4 linked regions of the Rhinolophus ferrumequinum genome follow. The protein of the gene in region 4 interacts with the protein of the main gene of each other region in a pairwise test. Links are inferred from orthologs where the notes say so. Each region holds a gene or a part of one and is shown on either strand. Other genes may lie near its edges.

The links.
Region 1: the proteins of DCP1A (region 4) and EDC3 interact in binary tests that used the Homo sapiens proteins (3 or more experiments, as listed by UniProt). The two-hybrid records come from large-scale screens. The link is inferred for Rhinolophus ferrumequinum from reciprocal best matches to the Homo sapiens genes DCP1A and EDC3.
Region 2: the proteins of DCP1A (region 4) and RITA1 interact in binary tests that used the Homo sapiens proteins (3 or more experiments, as listed by UniProt). The two-hybrid records come from large-scale screens. The link is inferred for Rhinolophus ferrumequinum from reciprocal best matches to the Homo sapiens genes DCP1A and RITA1.
Region 3: the proteins of DCP1A (region 4) and PNRC2 interact in binary tests that used the Homo sapiens proteins (3 or more experiments, as listed by UniProt). The link is inferred for Rhinolophus ferrumequinum from reciprocal best matches to the Homo sapiens genes DCP1A and PNRC2.

What each region holds. Positions count from the first base shown.
Region 1 is NC_046289.1:99,281,754-99,289,077, reverse strand, and holds the start of EDC3 (enhancer of mRNA-decapping protein 3), read left to right. Parts: upstream 1-4,322; 5' UTR 4,323-4,461; intron 4,462-7,324. UniProt on the Homo sapiens protein: Binds single-stranded RNA. Involved in the process of mRNA degradation and in the positive regulation of mRNA decapping. May play a role in spermiogenesis and oogenesis.
Region 2 is NC_046308.1:7,991,308-7,998,236, forward strand, and holds the start of RITA1 (RBPJ-interacting and tubulin-associated protein 1), read left to right. Parts: upstream 1-3,927; 5' UTR 3,928-4,069; intron 4,070-4,101; exon of another isoform or gene 4,102-4,246; intron 4,247-4,410; 5' UTR 4,411-4,548; intron 4,549-4,976; 5' UTR 4,977-5,040; coding exon 5,041-5,342; intron 5,343-6,929. Other genes in the region: ATP-dependent RNA helicase DDX54, read right to left, coding at 1,110-1,239, 3,604-3,777. UniProt on the Homo sapiens protein: Tubulin-binding protein that acts as a negative regulator of Notch signaling pathway.
Region 3 is NC_046292.1:16,339,943-16,347,181, forward strand, and holds the start of PNRC2 (proline-rich nuclear receptor coactivator 2), read left to right. Parts: upstream 1-4,237; 5' UTR 4,238-4,409; intron 4,410-5,328; 5' UTR 5,329-5,531; intron 5,532-5,829; 5' UTR 5,830-5,847; coding exon 5,848-6,267; 3' UTR 6,268-7,239. UniProt on the Homo sapiens protein: Involved in nonsense-mediated mRNA decay (NMD) by acting as a bridge between the mRNA decapping complex and the NMD machinery. May act by targeting the NMD machinery to the P-body and recruiting the decapping machinery to aberrant mRNAs.
Region 4 is NC_046300.1:48,756,189-48,763,480, reverse strand, and holds the start of DCP1A (mRNA-decapping enzyme 1A), read left to right. Parts: upstream 1-4,278; 5' UTR 4,279-4,358; coding exon 4,359-4,493; intron 4,494-7,292. UniProt on the Homo sapiens protein: Necessary for the degradation of mRNAs, both in normal mRNA turnover and in nonsense-mediated mRNA decay. Removes the 7-methyl guanine cap structure from mRNA molecules, yielding a 5'-phosphorylated mRNA fragment and 7m-GDP.

The DNA of each region.
Region 1 (7,324 bases), on a different chromosome or scaffold from region 4:
TTTTTTTTCCAAGTCAAATTGTTGTCCTTTCAATCTTAGTTGTGTAGGGTGCCGTTCAGCTTCAAGTTGTTGTCCTTTCACTCTTAGTTGTGGAGGGTGCAGCTCCAGGTCCAGTTGCCGTTGCCGTTGCTAGTTGCAGGGGGCACAGCCCACCATCCCTTGCCGGAGTCGAACCGGCAACCTTGTGGTTGAGAGCCCTCGCTCCAACCAACTGAGCCATCCAGGAGCTCAGCGGCAGCTCAGTTCAAGGTGCCGTGTTCAATCTTAGTTGCAGGGGACGCTGCCCACCATCCCTTGCGGGACTCGAGGAGTTGAACTGGCATCCTTGTGGTTGAGAGCCCACTGGCCCATGTGGGAATCGAACCGGCAGCCTTCGAAGTTAGGAGCACGGAGCTCTAACCACCTGAGCCACCGGGCCGGCCCCTATGTTTAACTTTTTGAGGTACTGCCACATTGTTTTCCACAGTAGCTGCACCATTTTACATTCCCACCAGCAATGCATAAGGATTCTAATTTCTCCACATCTTCACCAACACTTACATTTTTTAATTTTTATTTTTAATTATAGCCATCCTTGTGGGTCTTAAGTGGTACCTCATTGAGGTTTTGACTTGCATTTCCCTAATGATTAGTGATGTTGAGTACCTCTTCATTGTTGGTCATTTGTATATCTTTTTTGGAAAAATGCCTATCAAGTCATTTGCCCATTTTAAATGGAGTTGTTTATCTTTTTGTTGTTGAGGCGTGTGTGTTCTTTATTCTGGATACTAGACCCTTATCAGATATGATTTGCAAATATTTTCTCCCATTCTTTAAGTTGTCTTTTTGCTTTCTTGATATGTTCTTTGAAGCACTGAACTTTTTAATTTTGATGAAGTCTAATTTGTTTATCTTTTCTTTTGTTGCCTGTACTTTTGGTGTTATATTTAAGAAATGCTTGCTCAATCCAAAGTTATTCTTTTTAATTCTAATCTCTGTTTAGCATTTTATAGTCCAGGACCTGCTTTCATGTACATTACCTCACTTACAAAATGACATGTAAGAGTTTAAGACACTTAAACCTTTTAGATCACATAAAGCAAAAATAATCTTAAGTAATTAGTAATTTGGGGCTTGCTTAGCCCCCAAACCTATACTAGATAAGTGGGGTGACTTAGAATTTGTCTAAACCAGAACATATTTGAGAGTAAAGGGGGTGATATTGATCCTTATGACAGGGTAATGGGAAGAACTGGGAATGTTTCAGGCAAACCAGGACATATGTTCCTCTATGTGTAAGTAATGGAGACCCAAATCCCAGTATTGGATCCACCATTAACTTGCTAAACCCCCACTTATATTAATGGGGGTGAAGCAGGCCATTTCTAAGGTTCCTTCCAGCTCTGCCATTCTAGAACTCCACGACGTGCCAGCAAGTCAAGGACTGTGGATTAGTGCTGTGCTATTCTCAACCTAAGAATTTATTTAATTCTCCAATGGTTGACGTCCCTGTTGGCGACTGTTACTGGTAGTGAGGACTGCAGCACATGAAAGCAGAAGCAAGTCTCCATACATCAGGAGAGGCAAGTGGGTGCCCCCTTATCTACAGTGGTCCCCAGAAACTTGACTGTAGGGCCGGGAAGGGTCCATCCAGCTCAAACAACTGTCTATAACCAGCAGTTCCTGGTGGAATTCTCTAACTGAGGAGTTTGGGAAGACTTCAGAAGAACTTGGTGAGTAGCAAATTCTGTCACCTTCTTCTTGCCTCCATAGCTATTGTCATAGCTCACTTCTCACCTTCACAGTCAAACCTCTTGAAGTTCTCTACACTCACTGCTTCCATTTGCTCACCTTGCATTCACTCCTCAACCCACAGAAATTTGATTTCTGGCCCCTTCACTCCACGCTCGAACCCCTGTCAGAATCACCAGGCACCTCCTGGTTGCTAAGTCTAATGGACATTTTCAGACTTCCTCGTCTTCACAGTAGTCAGCACTGTTGACGACTCTCTTAAAAGTCTTTTTCCTGGGTCTCTTTGGCATCCTCAACTGCTGGGTTTTCTTGTTTTCCTAGCTACTGCTTCTCAATTTCCTTTGAATCATTCTCTTCCTGTGTGTATCCCTTAAATGCTGGTGTTCCACCAAGTTCTGTCCTTGGCCTTTGGCCCTTCTCATGTGGTGTGTTATTCCTGGACCACAGCGCCCATTACTGGGACTTTAATTACTGCCTGGTTGTTGATGACTTCTAAATCTCATCTCTCTCCTCAGCGCCACACCCCCATGATCCATTTCCCACTAGAGGCCCTAACATGAGCATCTAGTTAGCAGACTCCCTAACATGAGCATGGCCAGGGCAAGAGCACACACGAGATCCCTGACCTGTTCCCCATTTCTTCCCACCCCTATTCCATCCCATACTGTGAGGGGCTTCTCAGGTCCACATTGTGAACATCCCAGCCTAAATATCCAAGCCCCATTCACACTGTTCCCAAACAGCCATGTTTTTGGCCACCCCTTGGGCCTAGGAGTCTCACACCATGGCAGTGAGTTCACCCTCAGGAGGACAAACCTGGGGAAGAGACTTGGCTACGGGCTGAAAGTGGACTCAGGTCATTTGGGAGGACATTTGGGAATCCCAGGAATGAGAAATGGAGCAGGTCTGAAAGTGGGAGTGTGAGCTCTAGGTAATCATGTCTCCTTAGCCCCACAGAGAAAGGCTTGGCTTGAGAACCAGAGTGGGGGCCATCTAAAGTGTGGGATCTAGGGCAAGGCCCCCAGTTTTCCAAGTCTTAGGATTTTTAACTGCTCCCACAGGTACCTTAAGCTCAATATATGCAGACCTGAATTTATCATCTACTTCCTTTTCCTCCTCTATTACTGCCTGCCCACATCCTCCTCATTCTTGTCAATTCCATATCTGAGTAAGTAGCACCACCAAACAATCTTTTGCCTTAGCCATACACCTGGGAGTTGATCCTATCTCCTCAACACCTTTACACCTTGTAACCCAACTTGTAATACCTTAGTTTGGATTGTCATCATTTGTCAATTGGTCTCACTCCCACCATAGTTTCTTGCTTAAACGTCTTTGTTTTACGTTGTCTTCAGGATAAAACCAAGCTCCTTGGGGCATAGAAAGCCCTTTGGATATGGCTCCTGCTTATCATTGTACGTCAATCTATCATCACTTCCTCTTTTTACATATATGCTCCATCCAGTTGAACTACTGTGTTTCCCTGAAAACAAGACCAGGTCTTATACCGTATTTCCCCGAAAATAAGACTGGATCTTATATTAGTTTTTGCTCCAAAAGATGCATGAGGGCGTATTTTCAGGGGATGTCTTATTTTTTCACGTACAACAATCTACATTTATTCAAATACAGTCATGTCATCTTCCTCTGGAATGTCGTCATAACATACTAAATGTGTCCATCTGGCTGACGATCTTAACTGGACCTTTTTTTCAGGAAAACACGGTACTTGTATAATATTTCCCTGGATGGGCCAGCTTACCCACATTTCCTTGGCTATCTCTGCACCTCTTCCTTTACTGGAATCTCTGGTGATGAGGGACAGGAGGGGAGTCCCTGGAAAGTGGAAATTTTATAAAGTTCATCAACTGATTTTGAAAAGTCAGGTTTGGATCGCTGCCCTACTCTTTACTCCCTGTCCAACCAGTGGTTCCCAAACTAGCTGTCAGGCTTCAAGATGACCTCGTAAACTTTAAACTCTAACATTCCTCATTACACTCAGTCGTAGCCCTAAACGCCTGTTTTTTTCAAAATCAAGACTTCCAAAACTAAAATGCCACGGGAAGAGTGGCACTTGCGCGTGTACAAAGTACTTGGGGGCGGGTGACGGGGGTGGTCAAGCATAGACTGGCTGACAACCCCCAAATGAACATAAGCTGATAAACTGAAGATCAGCCACGAAGGGAATTTCTTGTTTCCTATAATCCGTCCGGAGAGCCTACTTATAGCATCCCACAGCTGCCACTGATTAAGGACGGGGTGGCCAGCCCCACTCCCCCCAGTCTTCCGCTCTTGCTCGGAGATTGGCGCAAAGCGGGGAGGGAAAGCCGAAGCTTGTCCTCAAGAATGCAAGAAAGAACGGAGTCCCCCGGCATCTGGGCCGGGGAGGGCGGCGGGACACCGATTCTAACCAGGAGTCCAGCCGCTATAAGTAGAAAGGACATGCAAAACGGCCGCCCCGGCGCGGTTCCGGGAGGCCGCAGGTCTGGCTCTCAAGCTCTCAAATTTCCCGGGCGCCCCGCCCCCCAAAGCCGCACCCTGAGGTTTCCAAGGCGTCGCGCCGGAAGTGACCTCACGACGGCGGCGTGGAGACGCGGGGCGCTTCCGGCGGCAGTGGCGGCCCCGGCTGTGGGGGTGGGCGTGGAGTGGCCCCTCCGTCTCCGGGTTCCGTGGCGCGGCTGGTCGGCTCGGCTTGGTGTGCCGAGGATACACGGGCCCGACGGCGTGGAGGTGGGAGCGAGGGGCGGCGGCTGGTTTGTGGGCGCTCGTGAGAGGGGGCTTCCGGGGTTGCCAGGCGAGTTTGCTTTTAGGTTTCGGGGTTCCAGGCCTCGGAGACCTTTATGGAGGCGGGCACGAGGTGGGGCCACCTCGGGCACGCAGCGGGCCAGGAACTCGGGGCTGCCGGGGGGTGTGTGGTTCGAGGTGGGAGCAGAGGACCGCGGGTGTCCGGACAGTCTGGGAGTTGGCTGAGGTGGGAGGCAGTAGCGGCCTAGGCTCTTGCTTTGGCCTTGTTGATGGCTGCTGCGGCGCGGCCACTCGTTGCTCCGTGCCTCATCTCCCTTTCCACAGTAGGGTAGGGTGGCAGGGAAGAGTGCGAGTGCCACATCCATGACTGAAAGCTTGAGGACCCAGGTGAACTGGGGTCTGAAAGGGAAGGGTGGCGGAGAAATTTATGACACCTGCCAGGGCCCAGCTTCTGCTGAATCCTGGGGTCGGCCTCTTGATTCTTTCTTGGTGGTGGTATAAGTCTGAGCTGCTCATCAGTACTCTGTGTGTGAGATTGATTGACTTGATCAATAATTGACTTGTTGACGTGGTGAACGTGTTTTGGTGTGTGGGAGGCATAGTTCTTGCCTCCTTGGCCAGTTGGTTTTCAATAAATCTCCCAATTCTGGAGCTAGGATCCTCTTCCGTGTTAACATGAGGAACTGGAGACCCAGAATAGTTTTTCTTTTCTTTCCTGGCCTCAGACTAAGGTAATTTCATTCTGCTGTCTGTCGATACTGGTTTTCATCCCATCAAAGCCTAAGTGACTGTCTCTGAGCAAGTCCCTATATCAACTGGAAACCTCAGATGGATTCTAGTCTTTTTTTTTTTTTTAAATGAATAGCAGATAGGTGTACTGAGCACAAAATTCCTGTTTGTTGGTTTCTTTGTATGAAGTGAAGATGGTTATAAATAATGTAACTTTTTGATTACTAAGAATTTTTTGATGGCGCTTCCTTGTGGGAGTAGGGCTGCGGAACTAGCAAAGTTTCTCTCAAAGTTTTTTGAGGGGTGGATGGGTGACTCGGTTGGAGCGCGAGCTCTCAACCACAAGGTTGCGGGTTGGAGTCCCACAAGGGATGGTGGGCTGTGCCCTCTGTAACTAAGATTGAACACTGGTGACTATAGTTGGAGCTGAGCCGCGTCCTCCACAACTAAAATTGAAAGGACAACAACTTGACTTGGAGCTGATGGGTCCTGGGAAAAACACTGTTCCCCAATAAAGTCCTGGAAATACATACTGTTCCCCAATAAAGTCCTGTTAAAAAAAAATTAAAAAACAAAAAACTTTTAAATTATGACCCAGTTAGGTACATACTAACTACATCATGACTCAGTATGCCCCCTGTATGCACAGTGTATACACACACACACCACAAAAGTTTAGCCTTTCTACATATGAGGCCCTCTGACACCATTTCATTGAAAGAAAAAAAGTTGATTGCAACTCACTTACATTGACTACTAATGGGCCTGAAATGGGCCTGTAATTTGAAAAACACTGGACTAGAAAATGTTTAAATCCTTGTGATTCATTTCTAAGATTCTGCAGTTAATGCACAGTGGAAAATGTGTCATTTTTCTGTTCTTCTCAGCCAGAGTAGCAGTTACTCAAGTTATAAATTCAGCCAGAACAACAGGGCAGGACATGCAAATGGTGGCCCAAAGGAATGTAGTATGCATAGTGATAGTGTGTCTGTTTTAACAAGGCATTTGTTAAGTCTTTTATGATGGCCCCGTGAATTAGATGGAGGAATTTGCCAGATTGTGTTAAAATTAGATGGAGTCATAACTTTGAGTATCTGTGTCTGAGCAGTTTGATCCCACTTATAGCTGGGATTCTGTTGATCTGAGTTGAGACTCTGTCACTTTGTTTATATACAGTATGTTTTTGAAGTCTTATCTGGAAGGTGTGCTATCAAATATGTTGCCTTAATGAAGTGAAGAGAGAAAGTATCATCTGGTTAATCTCAAGATTTTCCCAGTGCAATTTAATGAAATGGAAGGGTTATATAAACGTGAGGAATTCCCTTGGATCCAAAAAATTCAGTTATACCAGTTAATGTAGAGATGGGACTTAGGAGGGGCTCACGTAATAAAAAGAAGTGGAGTCTCAGTCATCTGATTCAGGGGTGTGGTTAGACTGGGAGAACTGGTGGGGCCTGCAGTCGCTAGTTGCATTAAGGGAACGGAAGGTCTAGAATGAGGGAGGTACATCACTTGACCCCGGAACTGGTTGGCTCACACCTGGAATATTAGGTTTAGGTCTGGGTACTCTGTAAGAGTAAATTAATTTGGGGGTAGTAGTGAAAAGGAGTTGGAATTTGTCAGTTTTAAAAAGAATTTATTATTGGCTGTCTGAAGATACGGTGGCATTCCTTTGGCATGAGTAATTCTTTTTCCCCTTGTCATTTCAGGCATATTTGGGGTCAGTGTAGTCTTAACACATTTTTGCTTGAGAGTGTCCAAAACATTGGGAAATTTATGTATCTCTTACACACTTTTAAGTTGGCATCTGAAATTTTTCGTAAATTTAAATAGATTAAACATTTAATTTTTAAAAGTTTAGGGTGTAATTTCTGACATTGTGAATATTGACTTTTTAAAAATAAATACAAAGTTATCTAAATATAATAGCAATTTTATGTTTTAAAAATATACAAATAGCCTTTCTTATATAAAAATAACCCCTCTAAGATATGTATAAATGTGTATTACATTACTTGATTTTCACATATTAAGCCAATCTTTTGTTTCTGTAATGAACCCCATTTAGTCATGATGTATAATACTTTTTATATGTTGCTGAATTCAATTTGCTAATATT
Region 2 (6,929 bases), on a different chromosome or scaffold from region 4:
AGTGGATTCCAAGACTCGCTTCAGACTCCTCCGGGACGATGGGGACAAGTAAGTGGGGCGTGGCCAAAGCAAGGCCAAGTTGAACACCACTGAAGTTGGTGATGGGTACGTGGAGACCCGCAGGATTCCATTTTTCATACGTCTGTAATTTATAATTAAAAGAAGAGAGTATTCCATGACAAGGGCCGGTGATAGCTGCGAGCATGGCCACTGACAAATGAGCCACATGGTGCTATCAGGGCGAGGAGGTGGCTCTGGAGACGGGATGCGACTTGGGCTTGTGAGGGTGGGAGGCCCAGAGACAGGAAAGCGCCGTGATTTTAGCTGCTTTCTGGGCAATTACCTTGGTAATTCAGAAAGGCGAAAAATAACCACATGTAGATGTTTTTATTTGCTTTTTTCTTTGATTTTTGATGAATGTTAGCACATTTTTAATATAGTAATTGGCTGTCTAGATTCCTTTTGTGAGCTGACTATTCATGTTCTTCACTCAGCTCTCTCTGGGGTGCCTGTCCTTTTCTTATTGATTTGTTAAAGCTCTTAGCATATAAAGGATACTTACTCTCTGTGTGTCCCATAGGTTGCAATATATTCCTGATAGCACTTTACTTTAACTTAGTTTACAGTGTTTTTTGGCATACATGTGTCTAACTGAAAAAAGAGTCCAATTAAACAGTGCTTGGGTCACACTTAGAAAGGCCTTCTTTTCCTTTCTAAGATGATAAAAATGTTCATCTTGATATTTAAATCTTTGCTCCAGATGCTGACTTGTAAGCAGCAAGAAAGAGAGTTCAGCTTTATTGCCATCTAGCCGGGTGTCCCAATCCCACCCAATTATTCCATCTTTCCCTCTCTGCTCTGAAATGCCATCGTCACGCAGTAAATCCCGAATGTCTCTGCCTGTACCTGCACCAGCGTCACCATCAGTCCTGCTCTAACCGTTTTCTCATTGTGTCAGGCCTGTTGTCCCCACAAGAAGGCCCTGACTGGCTTGGACACCATGTCTGCTGCCTTGGTCAACCCATCACCTACCACAGTGTTGGGCCCAGAGCAGAGCACGGAGGGCCCCACTGCTACTCCCCAAATCCCCAGATGGCTGGCTCACCCACCCATGGACTGGAAGCCTCCCGATTTCTTCTTCTTCTTGTTCTGGGCTCGCACCATTTCTCGCATGTCAGGCTCCACGTCCGAGGTGCATTCTGAGGTTGGGAAGGTGGGCAGTGGTCTGCCAGGTCCCAGCTGCGGGGGAGGAACAGAGAGGCAGCAAAACTCCAGGCACCATGAGACCACTGGTGGCAGGGAGGGGGGCTGTCCTGTTCCCAGTCTGCCCCCCATTCTAGCCTATGACTCGCCTGCCAGGTTACATGACTTCTCTGCTAGCAGGCTCTCTTTTGACTGGGCCAGACAGGGCAAAGGGGCAGAGAGTGGGATCTGCAGACAGACTGCCTGCGTTTCAATCCCAACTCTGTCACTTACCAGCTGTGAGACCTCATACAAGGGACTTAATCCCCCTGAGTCTGTGTTTCCACATCTGGGAAACAAGGATGACAAAAGTATATGCCTCACAGGGTGCTGTGAAGACTAAACAGGTATGCGGGACGCTTAGAATGGCGCCCAGCACATGGTGATATCAGAATCATCATTCTAGCCTGTCAATCAAAGCCTTCAAAATTAAAAACCCTACAGAGCCCATCAAAACATCTACTATGTGTGGAGGTACTAGATTTTTCCAAGCTGCCTTGCCCCCTCTCCCCAATCTTCTTTCTGATTCATTACCTCTCCCTAACTCCAGTCTCTGTCATGCCTGCCTCTTCTCTGCCCATCCAGAACCCACTTGTCCTAACACAGCTGAGTCCAACCCAGACGCCTCCTCTGGGGAGCCTTCTCAGACTACAGGACTATCCCCTTCCTCTCAGAAATAACACGTATGGAGCACTAATTCATAATAATGGCTAGAACTTACACGGCACTTATTCTAAGCCAGCTGCTGCTGTGGATTAACCCACTTAATCCTCACTAGTACCCTGGGAAACGAGAACTATTATTTTATCCATTTTACAGAGAAGGCAACTGAGGCACAGAGCAGTGAAGTGACCGACCCAAAGTCACCTGCTAGACAGCAAGTGGGGGATCAGAGTCTGTGCTCTTTGCATTGTGACCCTCTATGGTCCACTACACCATCTAGGTCAGAGCTGCAGCCTGTCTATGAGCTAAGGATGGTTTTTACATTTTAAAAGATTGTAAAAAATCAAACAAAGGAGACAGTGACCTTATACAGGCCTGCAAAACCTAAAACATTTACCATCTGGTTCTTTACAGTCATGTGCTCTAGACACATGACAACAAAGTGTCTGAACACACCCGTGTCCCACCAATATTTACGGAATGAGCAGAAAATACGAATACCGTCATTTAATCCCTTTCACAGTCTGTGACGTACACATACTCATCTGCGTTCTACACAAGTGGAAACTTCTGCCTTCTACAGATGTGGCTCAGAGAGGTTAAGCAACTTTTCTAATGTCCCACAGCCAGTAAAAAAGGATTGGGCCAGATTTGAACACAGGGCTGTGCCAGGACAAAGCCCTTGATCTGAACCACGCACATATGTGGGCTCCTCTTTGGTACTTAGTACTCTGCCCTCCTCCTGTGCTGCTCATTACCTTTATCAGTTACTCCAAATTTAGAGCACCTACTATGTGCCAGGCACTGGCTTGATGGGGAACAGTGGGACAAGGTCTGGTCCCTGCCTTGGAGTGTAGACCCCTCTTCATATAAACACCTGCTTGTTCACCTACCTACCCAGAGCTGCTCTGTGCCAGGCACTGGCTGGGCACAGGGCGGAGGGGCATAAGGAGCTAGTTCTGCCTGCTTGGTGTTCACACACCTGCCCTCCTTCCCCATTTGCCTACAGTTGGCACTCAGTAGCGGAAATAGCACAGGCCCTGGAACCAGACAGTCCCGGGTTTGAATCCTGCCTCTCCTACTTACAAGCTATGAGGTCTTGGTCAAGTTCCTTTAACCCTCTAGGCCTCAGCTTCTTCCTCTGGAAAATGGGACGACAATACTTAGCTTACAATGTTGGTGTGAGGAATAAATGATAAGGCTCCTTAAAACTCTTAGCACAGAGCCTGGCACACAGTAAACGGTAAACAAACCCAAGTTTAATTTATTACTATTAGTTTCCCAGAGGTTTGGGGGCGTCACTGTCCCAAACTGCGGCGTCCGGCCTCCCCTAAATTCAACCTCTCAAGAATCCCCTAAACTCCAAACTCAGAGCTTCAAAATCCGCACTTTTCATTGGACGAAACGGAACTAGGACCCGCCCCTGTGTAGGAGATAGCCAATGAGGGGCGCGAACAAAAGCCGGCCAAGAAGGCCCCAAGGCCCTAGCCTCTGGAACGCGCCGGCTCCAGCCGCCAGGACCCGGGGCTTGACAGGCCCGAGACACGTGCTCAGGCCGGCAAACCTGCCGGACTCCTGGCCAGGCGACCCCTCCCCACCCTCCGCAGTGCCCACTCCCCAGCTGGGGAAACGGAGGCCGCGGGGCGCTGCGCGGAGCCGGGGCTCGGGCTCCAACGTGTGTCCCAGCCCCGCGCTAACCTTCTGGGCGCGGGTGTCATCTTCCGCCTGGATCTCAAACTCGCCGTCTTCCGAGTCGCTGCTGCGGGCCTGGGGGGCCGCGCCCCGGCGTTTCCGGAGCCCCTTTTTCTTCCTCCACTGGGCCATGGCAGCTCGGGACCGCGGTCCAGCCGCCGGGCTAGTACCCGCCGCCATGCGGGCCCCGGCGCCAGGAAACGGGAAGGGGCGGAGTCTGCGGGGACGTACCACCGGCGCGGCCCTGGCCGCGCTCCCGCCCCTTCTGCCGCCGCGGGAGCTCGGCGCGCCCTCTCACGATCCCCTGACTGGCCCGCGAAGCCCCTCTCGGAGGCTTTGGGCATCTCCGGGAGCGTTCAGAAGGGGGACCCCCTCCCGGGAGCCAATGGTTCCGGCCGTGTCGCCCCGCCTCTGGCTGGTTGCTGTTTGAGACGCGCGCGGAGCACACGTCGCTAGGGCCTGGCTACCCGGGGTGAGTCAGTCCGCGCGGTTCCGGGGGCGGGGGGTTCTGGGCTCCGGGATTCCGACTCCAGATAAACGGGGGTCATGGATGCACCGCGGGTGCTCAGGCACCCCCACAGAGGAGTCCAGAGCTGGTGGGGAGGGGCACTGAGGGTTACAGCCGGCATCCGTGAGACAAGATGCTCTGGTAGGAAATAAGAATTCAGGGACGTCGGACGTCAACCCGGGCATTGACTTGGGGATTGGGGCGTGTGGGGTAGTGGGGGGTGGGGGAGGGATCCCCCTATAGTAGAATGGTTAAGTGCACAAGCTCTGGACTCCTGTCAGGTTCCAATTCCACTTCTATTTTAGTTTTGTAGGTGTGACTTACACATGTGACTTCACCTTTTGAAGCCTCAGTTTTGTCATCTGTAGAATGGACATAAAGTTTCTTCCCAAGACTATTGAGAGGGTTAAATGAGACGATGTTTCTAAAGCTCTTTGCACGAGGTAGGTATGAGATCAAAACGGATTATTATTACTTCCCCATAGATATATACAGGATGTAGGGACCTGTCCTGTCTCGCCCCATTGTTTGTTTTCTGGTTGGTGCCAAAATGGGCACAGGTCCCATCTTTCCTTTATCCCCGTAAGCGTTCTATAAATATTGAGCACACACTGTATGCTAGGAATACATAATTATTAAACACTTGCTAGTAAGACCCATCCACCCCCATCATTCTGACAACTAAAAACAAGTCAAACAAATTTCTGAAATGTCCCCTGGGGTTGGCAGTTCCCCTTTGAGGAGGACTGCTTGAGGGAGAACCTGACCCTTTTGCTGTTGAGGGAGAACCTTGGGGACCTAAGAGACTGCCATCCCTGATCTGCTGGCACTGCCGATGACACAGGGGTGGCACTCTGACCCCCTTTCACAGGGAGCCCTGGAGGCAGGGCCTGGCAGGCAGAGCAGGCCCACTGTCACCTGGGACTACGGACGGCATGAAGACCCCTGTGGAGCTGACCATTACTGGGATGCAGAGCCTTCACCGCCAGCACCGCTGCCGGGGTGGCTATCAAGTCAAGGCCAAGCCATCGTATGTGGATGAGACTTTGTTTGGCAGCCCTGTGGGCACCCGGCCCACACTACCAGACTTTGACCCACCCTGGGTGGAGAAGGCCAACAGAACCAAAGGAGTGGGCACAGAGTCTTCACAGGCCTCGGGGGCCAACAGAAGCTTTGAGACCACCTCCTCCAGGGGCAGTACCGCGACCCTCACACCAAGGAAGAAGAACAAATACAGGTAACAGGATGGGGAAATGCACTCCTGCACTCAGTGTAGCCAGCTAGGCTCCTCTTAGAACCCTGCTATTCACATGCTGTGTGACCTTGGACAAGCACCTTGACGTCTCTGAGCCGCAGTTTCCTGAGGTGAAAAATGGGATCTCATGGGATTGTTGAGAGGATTAAATGAGTGAGGTGTGTGTACAGTGCTTGGCACGGTAACCAGGCAATTAGGAAATTTTCGATAAATGGTAGTAATAAAGGTTATGACGGTGGAATACACATCCCGAAACGTCACAGACCAGGCATCTGAGGCCCAGAGAGGTCAGGATTTGCCCAAGATGACAGAGCAGTTTGCATAAGATTATTAGTGTGACTGATCATGAAATGACATAGCTGTGGTAGTTCCGCATTTCAGCAAGTCATTTTGAAAACAGTTCTTGTTGCATTTTCATGAACAAGTTGGAAAATCAGGAGCTGATGCTAATGGTTATAATTAGGTTATAATTAGATTATTTGGGTTATTTCAGGTTAATACAGCCTGGAGAAGTATCTAGTGGTGAGCCACAGAGCTCTATCTTGTTACCTGTGGTTTGGACAGAGACACAGGAGACTGGCATATTAATCAATTCTGGCTTCCATGACAAAGTACCATAGACTGGGAGGCTTAAACAGTAGACGTTTATTTCTCACAGTTCTAGTGACTTGAAGTCCAAGATCAAGGGGCCAGCTGTTGGTCTCTCCTGAAGCCTCTCCTCGGCTTGCTGATGGTCACTGTTTCGCTGTCCTCACATGGCCTTTCTCTGAGCATGTGCACGCCTGGTATCTCTTCTTATAGAAACATCATTCCTACTGGATTAGGGCGCCGCCCTTATGATCTCATTTAACTTTAATTATCTCTTTCAAATTTAACATGAATTTTAGGAGGACACAATTCAGTCCATAACAACTAACCAGTCATATTTAGGATCCATTCTGAGTCAGAAGGGACATACCGTAGTAGTCAAGAGAAGGGAATGGTGTCTATTTAAGGAGATACAATTCAATGAGATAAAAGCAAGATTCCTTATTATGTCAGGTTGGGGGCGATGCACCTGACAAGTTCTGTGAACCACAAGGCAGGCTCAGGTTGGCATTAGCAGCGCTGATACCTACAACATGGCTGAAAACACTGATGTCAGGATAGGCTGCATTAACAGAAGTATGGTGTCCTTATCAAGGGAGGTTACGGTCAACCCCATGCTCTCCTAAAGAATGGAGTTTTGTGCTGGATGCTGAGAAGTAGAGGGTGTCAAGTGAGAAGGTGCATAAGAGGTAGAGGTGTTACTGAGCAAAAACTGCAGCACCAGACAGACACAGGCTTCAACCAGACGTGTTTTGAATAGTTGAATCAAGTGACAAAAGGCTGACTTTTCAAAGATTTGAAGTTTGGGAATGGAAGCACTTTTCAGTCCTGGCCAAAAAAACCAGGGACCTGACTCACAGGTATGCCATGAATATTTGTGGAATTAATTTAAAAAATAATTGCTGAATAAATCTAATTAAAGGTGAGAGGCCTAAAGGTCTGATTTACTGATGGAGAGCTTGGCTCCTTGAGCCAGGCTGG
Region 3 (7,239 bases), on a different chromosome or scaffold from region 4:
CCACTCATGGAAGCACACAGCAGCCCACGGCAGCTCACAGTACCTCATTCCGACCTCGGACTGCTCATGGCAGCCCAGCTCCAGGGAGAGCTGTTGTTCACAATCTTATCTGTAGAGCACAAAGCTCACTGGCCCATGTGGCAATCGAACTGGTGACCTCTGCCTTAAGAGCATGGTGCTCCAACCACCTGAGCCACTGGGCCAGCCCCTTATATTATTTTTTGAACAAAAAGATGCATTAGAGCTGATTGATTGTCTGGCTAGGTCTTATTTTCAGGGAAACAGTAAAAGAAGATAGTTATTTTGACAAGGTCTGTTTATACAGAATTCTCTCCACCTCAAACCCTCATCTCTTCTGGTAAGAATGTTTCTTTCTTCCCCATATAGGGAGGACATCTTTCACTCTCTCCTGTTTTCAGGAAGAAAAGGAGGTGGGATGAGATGACCTTCTGGCACCTGCTATTTCTCTAGTGACTTTAGCTCAAAATGATCCTTACGCCAAAGTGCCACGTTTTGGAGTGGCATATTCTGCTCCTCTTCAGCTGGAACTGGAACACCCAAACATCCAGCCTCAAAACATTTGATTTGGAGTGGGCGTTCATGCATCAGAACCCTTTAAAGCTCCCAGAATTTGAGAGCCCCTGGGTCAGAGTCACAGGACCTGTGGGCGTTTAGCATTGACTTCCTGTGCCCCATTTAGTAATCAGACGGAAATGGCTATAATGGCCGAGAACTGATTTGCAACTGCTCAGGAATGTGTGAGCAACTGGGAACACGCAGCAGATGCTTCCCCAGAAAAAAAATTCACCGTGTATGGAGGGGTGTGTGTTTTGATACCAGTTTGGCAACGAGATCAGGGCCCTAAGATCCATCAAAACATCAGGCAGGCACTCCCCTTTACTCTTTGTCAGGTTCCAAGAACTTGCTTCTAGAACCTAACGGAAATAAGCCATCAGCTGACAGACCTGCAAGCATTCAAAGTTGTACTCTGAATTCATACGTAAGCTTGAGGAATAAAAATAACCAAACCAACTCTTTTGAAATCGACACACTGGGCGGTAAGTCACCCAGCCTGAAAGCTTGGGAGTCCAACTAGAGATTTGTTCCACAGGTTTGGCAAACCAGGGTGATTGCCCCAATTGCCCTAATGCTCATGGGATCTAAAATACAATAAGCACCAGCCTGCAACTTGCCAGTCCTCCAAAGGAGGATTGTTACTTTCAGAAACACCTTTAGGTAATGTATCTAATACATTAGGTAAGGAAAGGACTTCAGCAAGTGTGGGAATCCTTTCCTTCTCCCGTCCATTCCACAGGGTTCGATACAATGTCTGTTACCCGCAGTCCTTAGTGATGTTAGCAGGTTGATTTTTGTGTTTACAATCGGCATTGCCTGTCCTTGACTCTCAAGGGAAAAACTGAGGAAATGAATCTCCCAGACACCAGCTTTCCTTTCTGATAAATACCATGTTTCCCCGAAAATAAGACCGGGTCTTATATTAATTTTTGCTCCAAAAGACGCAATAGAGTGTATTTTCAGGGGATGTCTTATTTTTTCATGTACAACCATCTACATTTATTCAAATACAGTCATGTCATCTTCTTTTGGAACATCGTCATAATGTACTAAATGCGTCCGTGTGGCTGACGATCTTAACCGGGGCTTATTTTCGGGGTAGGTCTTATTTTTGGGGAAAGACGGTAGTAAAGGGAAGGGCTTTTGAGTTCCTTTAGGGCCAGGATGGAGTATCATCCACTGTTGTATCCCCAGGACTTGGCAGAGTGCCTGCTTCAAAGAAGACACCAGATAAATCTTTGTTCAATAAATGTTTGGTGTTAAATACCCACGTATTTATTATGCATTTGGCTCCTAGCATTGATGGCTGATCTATATCCTGAAAGCTGTTTGTTTGCAGCAACATTTTCCTGTTTGAACTGAGAACTACTAATTGGATGCTGTTGGTGGAACTGATTTTAAGACCAGCCTGCGGAGGTTGTATCAGATGTCCGAAGAGGGTGTGATTTTCGGTAAACGTTAATGAAGAATGAGGCAGGAGCTATTATATATTGAGAGGCTGCGGCGAGTCTGGGACACGGTAAAGGCTTTAATAGTGCTCTCCTGAGGGCAACCTGACTCTTGACGTTCTGGCAAAGAACCTGGTTCGGCCAGGCAGCAGGATGGAGGCTTCATACTGCCCAAGCAGCCCCAGCAGCCCGTCAGTGTCTGCTCTGGACAAAGCACCTTTCAGGCACTGGGGAGGACACAGAGGTGATTCAGACACAGATGCTACAGGCAGCATAGAGCCTGGCCTCTGGACTCTTGCGTGTGTAGCTTTCAGCTCTAAACTGTCTGACCTTCAGATTCTTCATCGGTCCAGTGGAGATCAACATAGATCCTACCCCATAATTTGTGAAAATTAAATGAAATGATGTGAGCAAAACAGTTTAGCACAGGGCAGGGAGGCAAAGTATTCAATATATTATGTGCATGTTTACAAGTATCCAATACATTACCTGTGTGTTTATACAGATAAGATTTGGAGAACAATTGAATTCTGTAATGCCATTTTGGGCTGCTAAAGTGTTTTTTTGTTTTTTGTTTTTTAAGTGACACAATCAGATCCGTGGAGGATACAGAGAAAGAAGGGGGTGAGGGTGGGAGTGTAGCAGGGATGAATTTGAAAGATATCTGGGGGATGAAAACGAATTAGAAAAAGAAAATGCTCAGATTGAAAACAGATTGTTCATGTTACAAACCATTAGATTATAATAAAAAAATATATTGTATGGGTCTTTTCTGAAATCAAAATTTTGACCCATTAAACACAGCCTGGCTGTTTTCTGGCCGGATGTCTAAGCCAGCTATTTGAAGTTTTAGGAAATAGATTACACGTCAGTAACCTAGCAGCTGTTTACCATGTACAGTAAAGTACATCTTATTTGACTATAATATGATTAGCACCAGAAAGTCCCATCCTCAAAAATATCTCTTCTACATTTTGCCAAATTAATTTGATTAACAAACTCCTTTTTTAAAATACGGTCGCTTAAGTAGTTTTCTTAAGAAAACTTAAGGCCCACAGCTAGAAGAACATAGTGGTAGGGGATGATGACAGTGAAAAATTGATGATTTAAAATTGAGTTATGTGGGACTTATAAAATATATATACAAATCCTGTAACGAAAACGTTCACAGAATTGGTGTTCTCTTTTAAAACACTCACTTTGGGTTGCTTATCCATTCACTCCGCAGAAGTTGCCCTTCCTTTTCCCTGCACTTTGCTGGCATTATCTTTTCTCCTGCTTTTCACTTGCAAATTGGGCACAAAGGGGAATAACAAACTTTCCTTGTGCACTTAACGTGCGAGGCACTGTGCTCAGAAAAATGAAACCTGGCCTTGCCCCTCGAGGGTGTTTTTGGGGATGGGTGGGCAGATACACAGTCGCAAGCAGTTAACGATGCGGCAGGAGGAAGGGCTCTACTCGAAGTTTACGGACCAGTGGGGACACAAAGAGGAAGTGACTGACCTGGTCCGCGCGCGTCGGAAGCGCGTTCACAGGGGAAGCAACTTCTGAATAATTTCGAAGCTGGGGTGGGGAGGACAGGAGGAACCGCAAGCTTTGGGAGCTGCAAGTAAGTTCTCACGCCGAGAAACAGAATGAGGGGAGTGACAGGCTCCAAGGAACAGGGGCTAGGTGTCGGAAAGCAACTTTGTTGAGAATCTCCCAGCTGTAAAACAGTTCCACGACCTGAACTCGGGAACCTAATGGCCCTTTCAGTAATTCCCCCAGGGAGGAAAACCAGCCGGGTCCTAAGGGCCGCGGGCCCGCGGGCCGGAGAGCCAGGTTGGAGCTGCTGCCGGCGCAGACTGCTGACGCCCCATCCAGGTGCCGATCAAGCGACGGCAAAGCTGGCTCCTGGAGTCGGGGCGCTGGCGTCGCGATCCCAGGGAGTTGCCGGGGCGGAAGGCGGAGGCCACCACGGCTGGGGGTGCCGAGAACAGCTGGGTGGACGCCTCTAAAAAGAGTCCGGTGTTAGCCGAGGGCCCGCAGCAGTTGTTCCCGACGTGCTCCTCTCCCGGAGAATTTCAAACCCTCCGCAACCACCTCCTCCTTCGATCGCCCCGGCCGCCCCAGCAACAGGCGGTGGCTCGTGTATCATTGGCCGGGCCTCGCGTTGGAGCGTTTTGATTGGCCGCCATGCCTCTCGGCTCCGCTTCTGCGCTCGTCGCCACCTCCATTTTGTCGGTAGAGGCAGAAGGAGGAGGTTGGGTTGAGTTGCCGAGGTGGTTAGCGGGCTCGTCGGTGCTCGTGGGCTTTGTTCGTTCCGTGCCTCGTCTCTCCCTGGAAGGGGAGGGGGCTTCGTCGCCGAGCAGGAGCCGCCGCTACCGCGGTCCGAGTTTGAAGTCGGTGAGTGGCGGCGGCGCCGCGGGCGCGGCCATGTTGGCCGTCGCGCTCCCCATTGTTGGTGGAAGGAAGCGAGATCCGGGAACCGGGCGGGGCGCGGGCGGCCGGGAAGACCGGGTTCCCGGGCAGGGCTTGAGAAAGATGGAGCCGCTCGGAAGCCGAGCCCCATCGGAAAAAGTGAACTTTCCGGGCTCGCGTTGTGAATGTCTCTAGGTCTGGGAACTCGTAATTTACTCCTGGCTGTTAAAATAGCCTTGAAGGCCCTATTACCCTTTCGAAGAGGGCTTGTTGATAACTTGGTTTCCTGGAATATCAAATGAAAAATCTTGACTTTGTCATGTGCTCCGTGGGGAGGCGTTTTTATATACTTAAGATGGGAACTGGATTAGGTTACGACGTATGAAAACTTAAAACGGGGAGGAGTGGACAGTGTTCCCAACTAAAGAAAAGTGCATGTAGATTGGGAGAAGAGGCTTTGTGAAAACGGATATGTGATGTGTTGAAAGATTGAAAAATTCTGGTGGGACTTTACAAACAAGGTCTCTTCGGGAAACTAATTTTAACCCAATTCCCTTGTCATGGCAGTAAAGGCTAATGCTTTTCTGGTTTGACTTAAATTAACATCGTGGTCACAAAAACTGAGAATCTGAAAGGTCTCAAGGAAAAAGATACAACTTGTTAGGGGACTTGTAGAAACCCATCTCATAATTCCCCAGGAAGGAGTTCCTGGGTATCAAAGCGGATGATGATAAGAGTTCTTAAATGATGACAGTTATAAGCTCAAAGAAAGCCATCTTCAGATTTTCTGCCTTTTAGTTCAGGAAGTAGCCATTCTTTAGTTAACTGATTCTGTAGTAAATATAAATGGTCAGTTTCTCCTCTGTTTTTGATTTGAATTAATGAAGCATACTTTTCTACCTAGGACTTGTCTCAAAACTTGTGTGCTGAGGAGACTCAGATGTTGGCCTCAGCTCCTAGGCTGAAATCAGCAGATTGGCCCATGAAAACTTCTGTATTGAGACAAAGGAAAGGATCCATCAGAAAGCAACATCTATTATCCTGGGCTTGGCAGCAAGGAAGAGGACAGGTAGTGGAAATCCTGCAATCTGAAAAGCAGACTGAAAGGTATGAAAAAATTCACCTTGTAATGGGGCATTTTTATGGTGGACTTACCCTATTGTTTTTATTTTGAAATAGAGGATTTTTCAGATTTGTGGGTAAGCTCATCTTTCTTAGGAAGGTAATAAAAACTATGCATAACGAAGTGTGAACATACAATGAAATTAAAGCAGCCGAATAGCACAGTTTTGAGCCTCCCTCCAGATTTCTGGAGTTGCAAGTTGGGGGCTATGGAAGCTTCTTCACGTTTTGAATTTTTCTTATTGGAATTTTATTCAGTTATTTTGTTTCCGTTCACTTACAGGTGACAAAGAAGCTGAAGATGGGTGGTGGAGAGAGGTATAACATTCCAGCCCCTCAATCTAGAAATGTTAGTAAGAACCAACAACAGCTTAATAGACAGAAGACCAAGGATCAAAATTCCCAGATGAAGATTGTTCATAAGAAAAAAGAAAGAGGACACACTTACAACGCATCAGCAGCTGCATGGCAGGCCATGCAAAATGGGGGGAAGAACAAAAATTTTCCAAACAATCAAAATTGGAACTCTAGCTTATCAAGTCCCAGCTTGCTTTTTAAGTCTCAGACTAATCAGAACTATGCTGGAGCCAAATTTAGTGAGCCGCCATCACCAAGTGTTCTTCCTAAACCACCAAGCCACTGGGTTCCTGTTTCGTTTAATCCTTCTGATAAGGAAATAATGACATTTCAACTTAAAACCTTACTTAAAGTACAGGTATAAAATAAGATAAAGTACTGATGTTCAAACTTAGTTAATTTAAGGGTAGTTGTCAGTTGTTTCATACCAAATTCATTAGGGAAATTAATCTGTGTAAAACTGCTAATGTAGAAAATCTAGACTTCATCTTGTGTGGTGTGCACTGTGATGTAATGGTAGTATCAGTGCAACTTAACTAAATTACTGATAACTGTACCAGACATCAAGTGGTCTCAATTGAGTAACTTAAGTGAAACCATCCAAGTTTAGATTTGGGGAATGGTAAAAAATTAACTTGATTGCTTTTTGGGGTAAAATACTGATTTAAGATTATCATGAATAAGTTAGTCGATTTACTTGTTAAAAGCTAGTGAAACTGCTTATAAGCATCTAGTTAACATACAGGGATTGAAAACTAGTTGAGTATTTGCAAGTTTAATGTCCTAGAAACACCAAAACCAACACAACCTGATGCACTGCCAAAAGAAAATGTGAATTTTTCTTAGAGAATAGTTGCAGTTTAGTAAATGTGGAAGGGGCAACGGGGTTGTTTAGAATGAAACTATACCCCAGTGGCCCCATTTCTTATATGCAGTGGATAGGTGATTGCCAACAAATGCACCAAAACCATTTTTATAGAAAACAATATTTGATGGTCAGCAGAGTAGCTTTCAAAATACATTTTTGTATTATAGCACTGCACAAGCTATTCTTACTGGTCTGGCCTCAAATCATCCCTGCAAAGCTTGCTTAAAGTAGGGAGCTATATAATGTGAAAATTTTGAGTACCTAGAAAAGAGCCATGTAAATATATGTAATAAAGTTGTAGCATATGTAAAGTTTTGTTGGCATTTATCCTACAAAAATAGAGTATTTTAGTATGAATTTGCTGAATGTAAGACCATGGACTTTTTTACACTATGGCCTAATTTTAAAGGTCCAAATAATGTTTTTAAAAGTTTGCCCTTGTGCTAAAGTGCCAGTGTATGTATCTTA
Region 4 (7,292 bases):
TTTCTCTGCCTAAAATGACAAACAGTAATAAGCAGATACTTTTTGAACAGATCTTTAAAATCAGAGAGGGAGAGGGAAAAGAGGAAGAGAAGAGAGATGGAGATGGAGAAAAACTAAACATGGGGAAATTTACAAGACTGAAAATGTGCTGAATGATTGTTCTGGACTATATTAAAACTGTATTTGCTTCAGGAGGCATAGAGCCTAAGAATCAAAATATATTAATACAAGCAAATCAGGCATTATTACTTGTTTAGCACTTATAACAAACAAATGCTTTGTTAGATGTGAAGTTGAAACAACCATCCCTTCTCTCAGGTTTATGCAACAAAGAAAAAACATCCTAACATTCCAATTAATCCAACAAATACGTATTAGATCTTGCCTCTGGCCAGGCACTGAGAATGTGATGGTAAACAAGACAGACGTGGTTCCTGCTTCATTGAACTGACAAGACAGACAAAACGTAAGTAAACTAAAAAATTACAACTTGTCGATGAGTGTTATGAAGAATGTGGACGAAAAAGGGGTGCGGTAATAAATCTAACCGAAAGTAACGTGAGTGATCTGATCATAAATTCCTAACTGGGTAGGTCAGGGTACGAAGTCACGCCCCAGGCCTGCAACTTCTTTAGTAAAAAGTTTTTAAGCCAGCCCTGTCCCTTGTTCTTGTGCATCTAGGTTAACACACCTTTGAAATGCCAGAAGTAATCTTCTTTTCCTGACCCCTCAAGGAAGCACTTAATTTTGTTAGCTACTGTGTTTCCCCAAAAATAAGACCTAGCCAGACCATCAGCTCTAACACATCTTTTGGAGCAAAAATTAATATACGACCTGGTATTATATTATATTATATTATATTATATTATATTATATTATGTTATATTATAAGTAAGACCGGGTCTTATATTAATTTTTGCTCCAAAAGACACATTAGAGCTGATGGTACGGCTAGATCTTATTTTCGAGGAAACATGGTATTCTGTAACTTGCTTTCTCCCACCTTCTTGTAAGCTTCCTTCCATCCCCTCCTTAATTCTAAATGTATAAAAGAAGCTGCAAAACTGTCATTCTCCAGAGATTTAAGATGTTGCTTCCCAGCATGTCGTCAGTTTGGCTTGAGTAAATTCTTATAAAAATTCTCTACAGGTTTGGACATTCTTATGTTGATGAGAAAGTGAGGAAAGGGACGACAGGATATCACAGAGATACCAGAGAGAGGAATGTTCCAGAAAGGGGAATAACAAGTACAAAGACCCTGAGGCATGACTCATTTGGGGTATATATGGGAATAGCAAGGAGGTTGGAGGCTAGGAAGACTAGGGTGGAATAACTGAAAGGGCAATTCATGGAAAGTGGAGATGGAAAGGCAGCAGGAGGCCGGACAGAGGAATGTCTCCCAGGCCATGACAAGGACTTTGGATTTTACACTGGAGAAATGGGAAGTCTGTGACTAACTGACAAAGTTACACAGCTGGCAGATTTGGAACTAAAACACTGACCTTCTGACAAGGATTCTAGCCAGTTCTACCTTAGACCCCATGATTTTAAATGGAAAGTTTTTTCTTTTTTTACAAAGCCACCCAGTCAGAGAGACGTGGGGTTTGGATGATTGGAGTTTACCTTTTCATATTTTAAATTATTTGTATTTTAAAAAAAAATAATTGACATGAAACACAACTCAAAAGTGACCAAAGGTTTTCCAGTGCAGAGTTAAGACTCCTTCCCACCTCTGATCCCAGGCACCCACCTCTTTTTAGTCTCTTCTATGGCCTTAAAGGTGTTGGATTTTAAGATGACATTCATTCACTAACACTTATTGAGTCTACTCTGCCAGGGGCTGTGCCAGGTACTGGGGACCTAATAGACTAAGGTGAATCTCTGCTCTCTCAGAGCCTATTACCTGCAAGACACAAGAAATGACTTAATGGGGTGGCCAGGTGGCTCAGTTGGTTAGAGCGCAGTGCTCATAACACGAAGGTCACAGGTTCGATTCCCACATGGGCCAGTGAGCTGTGCCCTCCACAACTAAATTGAAAACAACTTGATTTGGAGTTGATGGTCCTGGAAAAACATACTGTTCCCCAATAAATAAATAAATAAATAAATAAATAAATAAATAAATAAATAAATAGAAATGACTTAACGTTTGATTGACAAATATTTTAAGGCAAAATCAGACCGCACAGTAAGAAAGGATGATTTTCAATTCCAAAATTATCACATTCTCTTTAATAAATTTTATGAGCTATATAGGGCATTAAAGACATTAACATGTTTTGGGGCACAGAAACGTGCATTTTGAAGGGATTTTCTATTCTGAATATGAAAACTCCCTAAAATATCTTGGTGTTCTTCACTAGTCTAGCCCTGCTCGATCAAAAATAATAAATAAAGGATGTCTTACATTATCTTAGGAAATCTATGTAAAAAAAAATAACTAATGAATAAGTCAGGGATGTAATGTACAGTATGGTGACTATAGTTAATAATACTGTATTGCATATTTGAATGTAGCTAGGAGAGTGGATCTTAAAAGTTCTCAACATAAGGAAAAAAACTGTAACTATTATAGTGACCGATGTTATCCGGACTATTGCAGTGATCGTTTTGCAATATATACAAATATCAAATCATTATATTGTACACCTGAAACTAATATGTTATACGTCAATTATACCTCAATAAAAAAATAATAATTTTTAGAAAGAAAAAATCAAATTCAGTTTCAGGTGCGCCTTTGAATTTTGTACCTATTCAAAAAGTACTTACATTGTATGTGGTTTTTTTTTTTAATTAGGGTACAGATTGTTCAAATGTTTGTCTGAAAGTAGGTGTACAGCTGTGTCTTCAGGAGGAAGAAAGGCAGCCAGGCTGTAGAGAAAAGGACCGTGGGGTAAAAGGGAGGAGTCCCAGTATTCTTATACCAGATCCCGACTCCTGTGGATCTTTAAGCCAGTGAGTTCTCCACCAGGCTTCAATTAAATCATCTGTCCAACGAGGAGGACCACACTTTCTCTACCTCACCATTGGAGTGTGAAATGGAAGGAGCTACTAACTCCTGAAGCACTAATTCAAACATTACCTCCTCCATGAAGCCTTCCTAGACTTTCTTGAGGAGATGGAGTCGGTGGTTCCATCCTCTAGGTTCAAGAGAACCATCTCTAACACTGTCCCAATTTCCTTGCATTGTCCTACTGCTTGGGGTTTCTCCCAGAGCCAGGTAGTTGTCTTAAGCCGTCTTTGAGGCTCCCAAAGGCCTACCAGTTCATATGTAGTTAGGAGTTCATTAAATACTTGCTTAATGAATAATACCTGTTTCCTTGTTTGCATTTGTACATGCTTCTTATGTGATTCTGAAAAGAATGTAAGACATGAATCCTCTTTCCATTAACAAATCGTCCTGGGATGTAAAATCATAAACAATACTTATGTTATGGGGGTTTTTCATTTCAAAAAATTACATTCCATTGGAGTATTTTTTCGATTTAAAAAAATTTTTAAGGGGGGGGGGGACACAGAGCTCCCTCCAAGTCTCTACACCTTGTTCTTCTCTAGCTAGTACCTAGCTCTTTAAAATGCCTTAAAATGTCCAAGAAATGTTTACTAAAAGAATGAGCTATTTTTTAAAATCTTTAAATGATGCACGACAAACTCAAGCCTTCCCAGGCTCTTCCCAAGACAGGATGTAAAGATTTACCTGGGATTCAGACGTGGAAAATAAGGAACAAAAATGGATAGCAAGACACTCCTGTGTAGTTACATGAGGATTCGTTTGGCTTTTTCCAAAATTTTCTTTCAGAAAAATACCAAATTGCTAACGGTAGTGATCTAGTGAGCTCTTAGATCTGGGGTAAGTTTCGGGGTCTCTCCCCGAAGAGAGGTCTCTACCTCCCCGCTTCTCTGTGCTTTCTAAACGGCCCGGGGAGCCTTTCATTGCCACGGCGAGGTTTTCGTTCTACCGCCCCGGGCCCTTCCCGTGAGCCAGCCGAAGTAGGCCCGCGTCAGTCTCCAACCTCAACCGGCAGGAGCTCGGAGAAAACTCGCGGGCACCTTGTTCCGGACCTCGGGACAGTTTAGTCCGCGGAAAGGAAGCGCCTGGACACCCGCCTGCCAGCTCAGCCGCATTTAGGTGTACGCGGAGACAGATGGCTGGGGACCTAGGACCCAAGGACGCCGGAACCTGGTGCCCGGGGGATGAGCGCAGCGGAGCATAATAGCTAACGTAGCGCCCCGCTGCAAGGCCCAGCGGAGAGGCGGAAGTTGCAGGCGCTGACGCACTGGGGGAATTTTGCCTCGAAGGCACCTTCCTGTCCGCGACTCCGCCCCCTCGGAGGGGCTCGGCTCCGGAAATCAAGATGGAGTCGTTGAGTCGAGCTGGGCAGGAGATGAGCTTAGCGGCCCTGAAGCAGCACGACCCCTACATCACCAGCATCGCAGACCTTACTGGTCAGGTCGCTCTATACACCTTCTGCCCCAAGGCCAACCAGTGGGTGAGTGCCGCTAGGACACTGAGGTCGCCCGCCGGGCTGCCGCCTCTTAAAGGGGCCGCGCGGACCACCCTGGGCTGGGGGCGATGCTGGAGGCCAAGGCGGCATAGACGCCTCCAGGGGCTGGAGGAGAGCCTGGCCGGCGCCTGAAGGATGTTGGGGGCCCGGGATTGGGAGAGAGGTGCAAGAGAAGTAGGGCCCAAAACATCCGGGGGAAAAGCCGATAGAGGGGAGGATTGGAGGAGGGTCAGTCTCCCCTTAGGGTCGGGTTCGGGGATGTGGGCGACCTGCCTTCTTCGCAGATGTGTTAGAGGATATGAGACCGGTGGGGTCAGAAAGATGCCTGAAAGATGGAGGGTTTGAGGGGCATTAATTAAATTACATATACATAATCTATAAAGTAAACATTCCTCCCTCCCCCCCACAAACACGTAAATAAGAGCCCCTTTCGCACAGGTATTTGGATTTAAAGCTTGAAATCCAATTAGTTTCAATTCTTGGAAAAGAGGAAGTGGGGATAGTCCGTCTTTTATCGAACTACACTGTATTTCCAGAGTTTTGGAAAAGAATTCAAGGCACTTAGAAAAAGGGCTCTCACATTAGTTGGATTCCCTTGAAACCTTTGGAAAAGAGACCCTGTAAATGTGTCTCGTTCCACCTATGCTGCTGGTGATGTCACCTCCAAAATCTCACATCAGACTAAATACTTTTAAGCTTTTTTTTGCACGCGAGGGGATCCGAAAAGTTACAGTCTGTTCACTGAACTGATTTGTTGACCCATTTGAAGCTTCGTTTGTTGTTTAAAACTACAATTTTCTGTTTTCTAGAATTGACCCTTAATGAACTCATTCAGTTATAGGCTTTACATTTACACTTAGAAAATAATCGTAAATATTTGATGGATTGAATTCATAAATTATTGATGTTCACATTTCAGTAAGAAACAAAATTCTTATGCTAACAAAACTCTGAAAGATGATCATCGTAGTATGGTCCTTTACAATATAATACAGATATGTTATATTTATACAGTAACTTTGTGAAAATCATTTGGCATTTTTAATTCAGATGAAAACAGTTGTCAAAATATCTTGCTTTGTATTCTTCTTTCCTTGATCTGGAAGAGGTATGAGAAGCCACAAAGAACAAAATTACAGATTTCTTCTTTTTTTAAGTGTAGCCGTTTTAGACATTGCCTTAATTTGAATTGTTCTGAATAATTTTTCTTTTCTTGGTCTACACATAAATTTGTGAAATATGGATTGCAGACAAATGTTGAAGACTTGGGCAAGGATTGATTTACTAACCAGCTTTTCTAATTTTTCACAGACTTTGAATTTTTTGGAATGTTAATTGTGGAGTTCTTTAAAAATAGAAATACAAGCCATAATAACCTGAATTGAGAAATAAGCTGCCATTGTTTGTTCATTTGGATTATGGCACATAGAGCATAACTAAAATCTTTTCTCTCTTTGTTATTTTACAGTGAGTTGTGACTGCATAGTGTTTTGTTTGGGCATGTTTTCTTTCACTGTGAGACAGTTGATTACCAATTTCTTATACTAATAACAAAATTGAAAGTCAAGAAAAAGCCTCTGAATCCTTAGGAAGGAAAAGCTCCATGATGATACATAAACTAGGGCAATACTCCTAGAAGAAATCAAGATAATAATTTTTAAAAAAAATTTTATCCCAACAAATTCAATTTGATAAAGTTTTCTAACAATTTGTTGATTACATTAAAATATTTGGGCCCTATCTGGACTGAAATGCAGACTAATATGGTTATTTGTTTTTGTTTTTTAAGATATTGTCACTATATTTAAGACCTAAATACACTCTTGTCACAGCAAATTAAAGAAGGTTGTGAGTTGTACTTTCTTAATCAAAACATTTCACTTTAAGCTAAAAAAATTTTTTTAATTGTTTGTAAAACCTACAATAATTACATTAAGCCAGAGAATTGTTTCAGTATTCATGATGCTTCAACAAAGTTCTAAAAATAACAAACTAGTTGTGTTTGACAGTAATTCTTAACTAACCACATTTGATACTCAATGAAAGTATACCCAAATCCCCCAATGATGAAACAAAGTATCCTATAAGATAAAATTTCCTTTTTTTCCCCTACTAAATTTGAGAAACTTTACAAGTGAAGAAATTGCTGTACCAAGGATCTTGCTTTAAAATTTAAAAATCTGGGAGGCCCTATGGCTCAGTTGGTTAGAGCGTGAGCTCTGAACAACAGGGTTGCGGGTTTGATTCCCACATGGGCCAGTGAGCTGCACCCTCCACAACTAGATTGAAGAAAACGAGCTGCCGCTGAGCTTCCGGAGGGGCGGCTGGATGGCTCAGTTGGTTAGAGTGCGCACTCTCAACAACAAGGTTGCCGGTTCAATTAAAGATTGAAAACAGCAACCGGACTTGGAGCTGAGCTGCGCCCTCCACAACTAGATTGAAGGGCAACGACTTGGAGCTGATGGACCCTGGAGAAACACACTGTCCCCCAATATTCCCCAATAAAATTTATTTTTAAAAAAATTAAAAATCTGGCTAAAACGTTTTTGCTTTAAAAAGTGAAAGCTAATTCTAGGTTTTTCTCCTTTAAAATTTGTAAAAGAAAAATGCTGCAGATACAGGCATGTTGCTGGATCAAACATTGCATGTACGTTAATATGCATCAATAGCATGGAAAGGATACCAAAAAATCTGGTAACAGTAGTTGTGGAGAGAGAGACTTACTTGACCTGTTCAAAAGTGATTAATTTTAGAATAAATAAGTTGATCTTTTCTGTTTTGTTT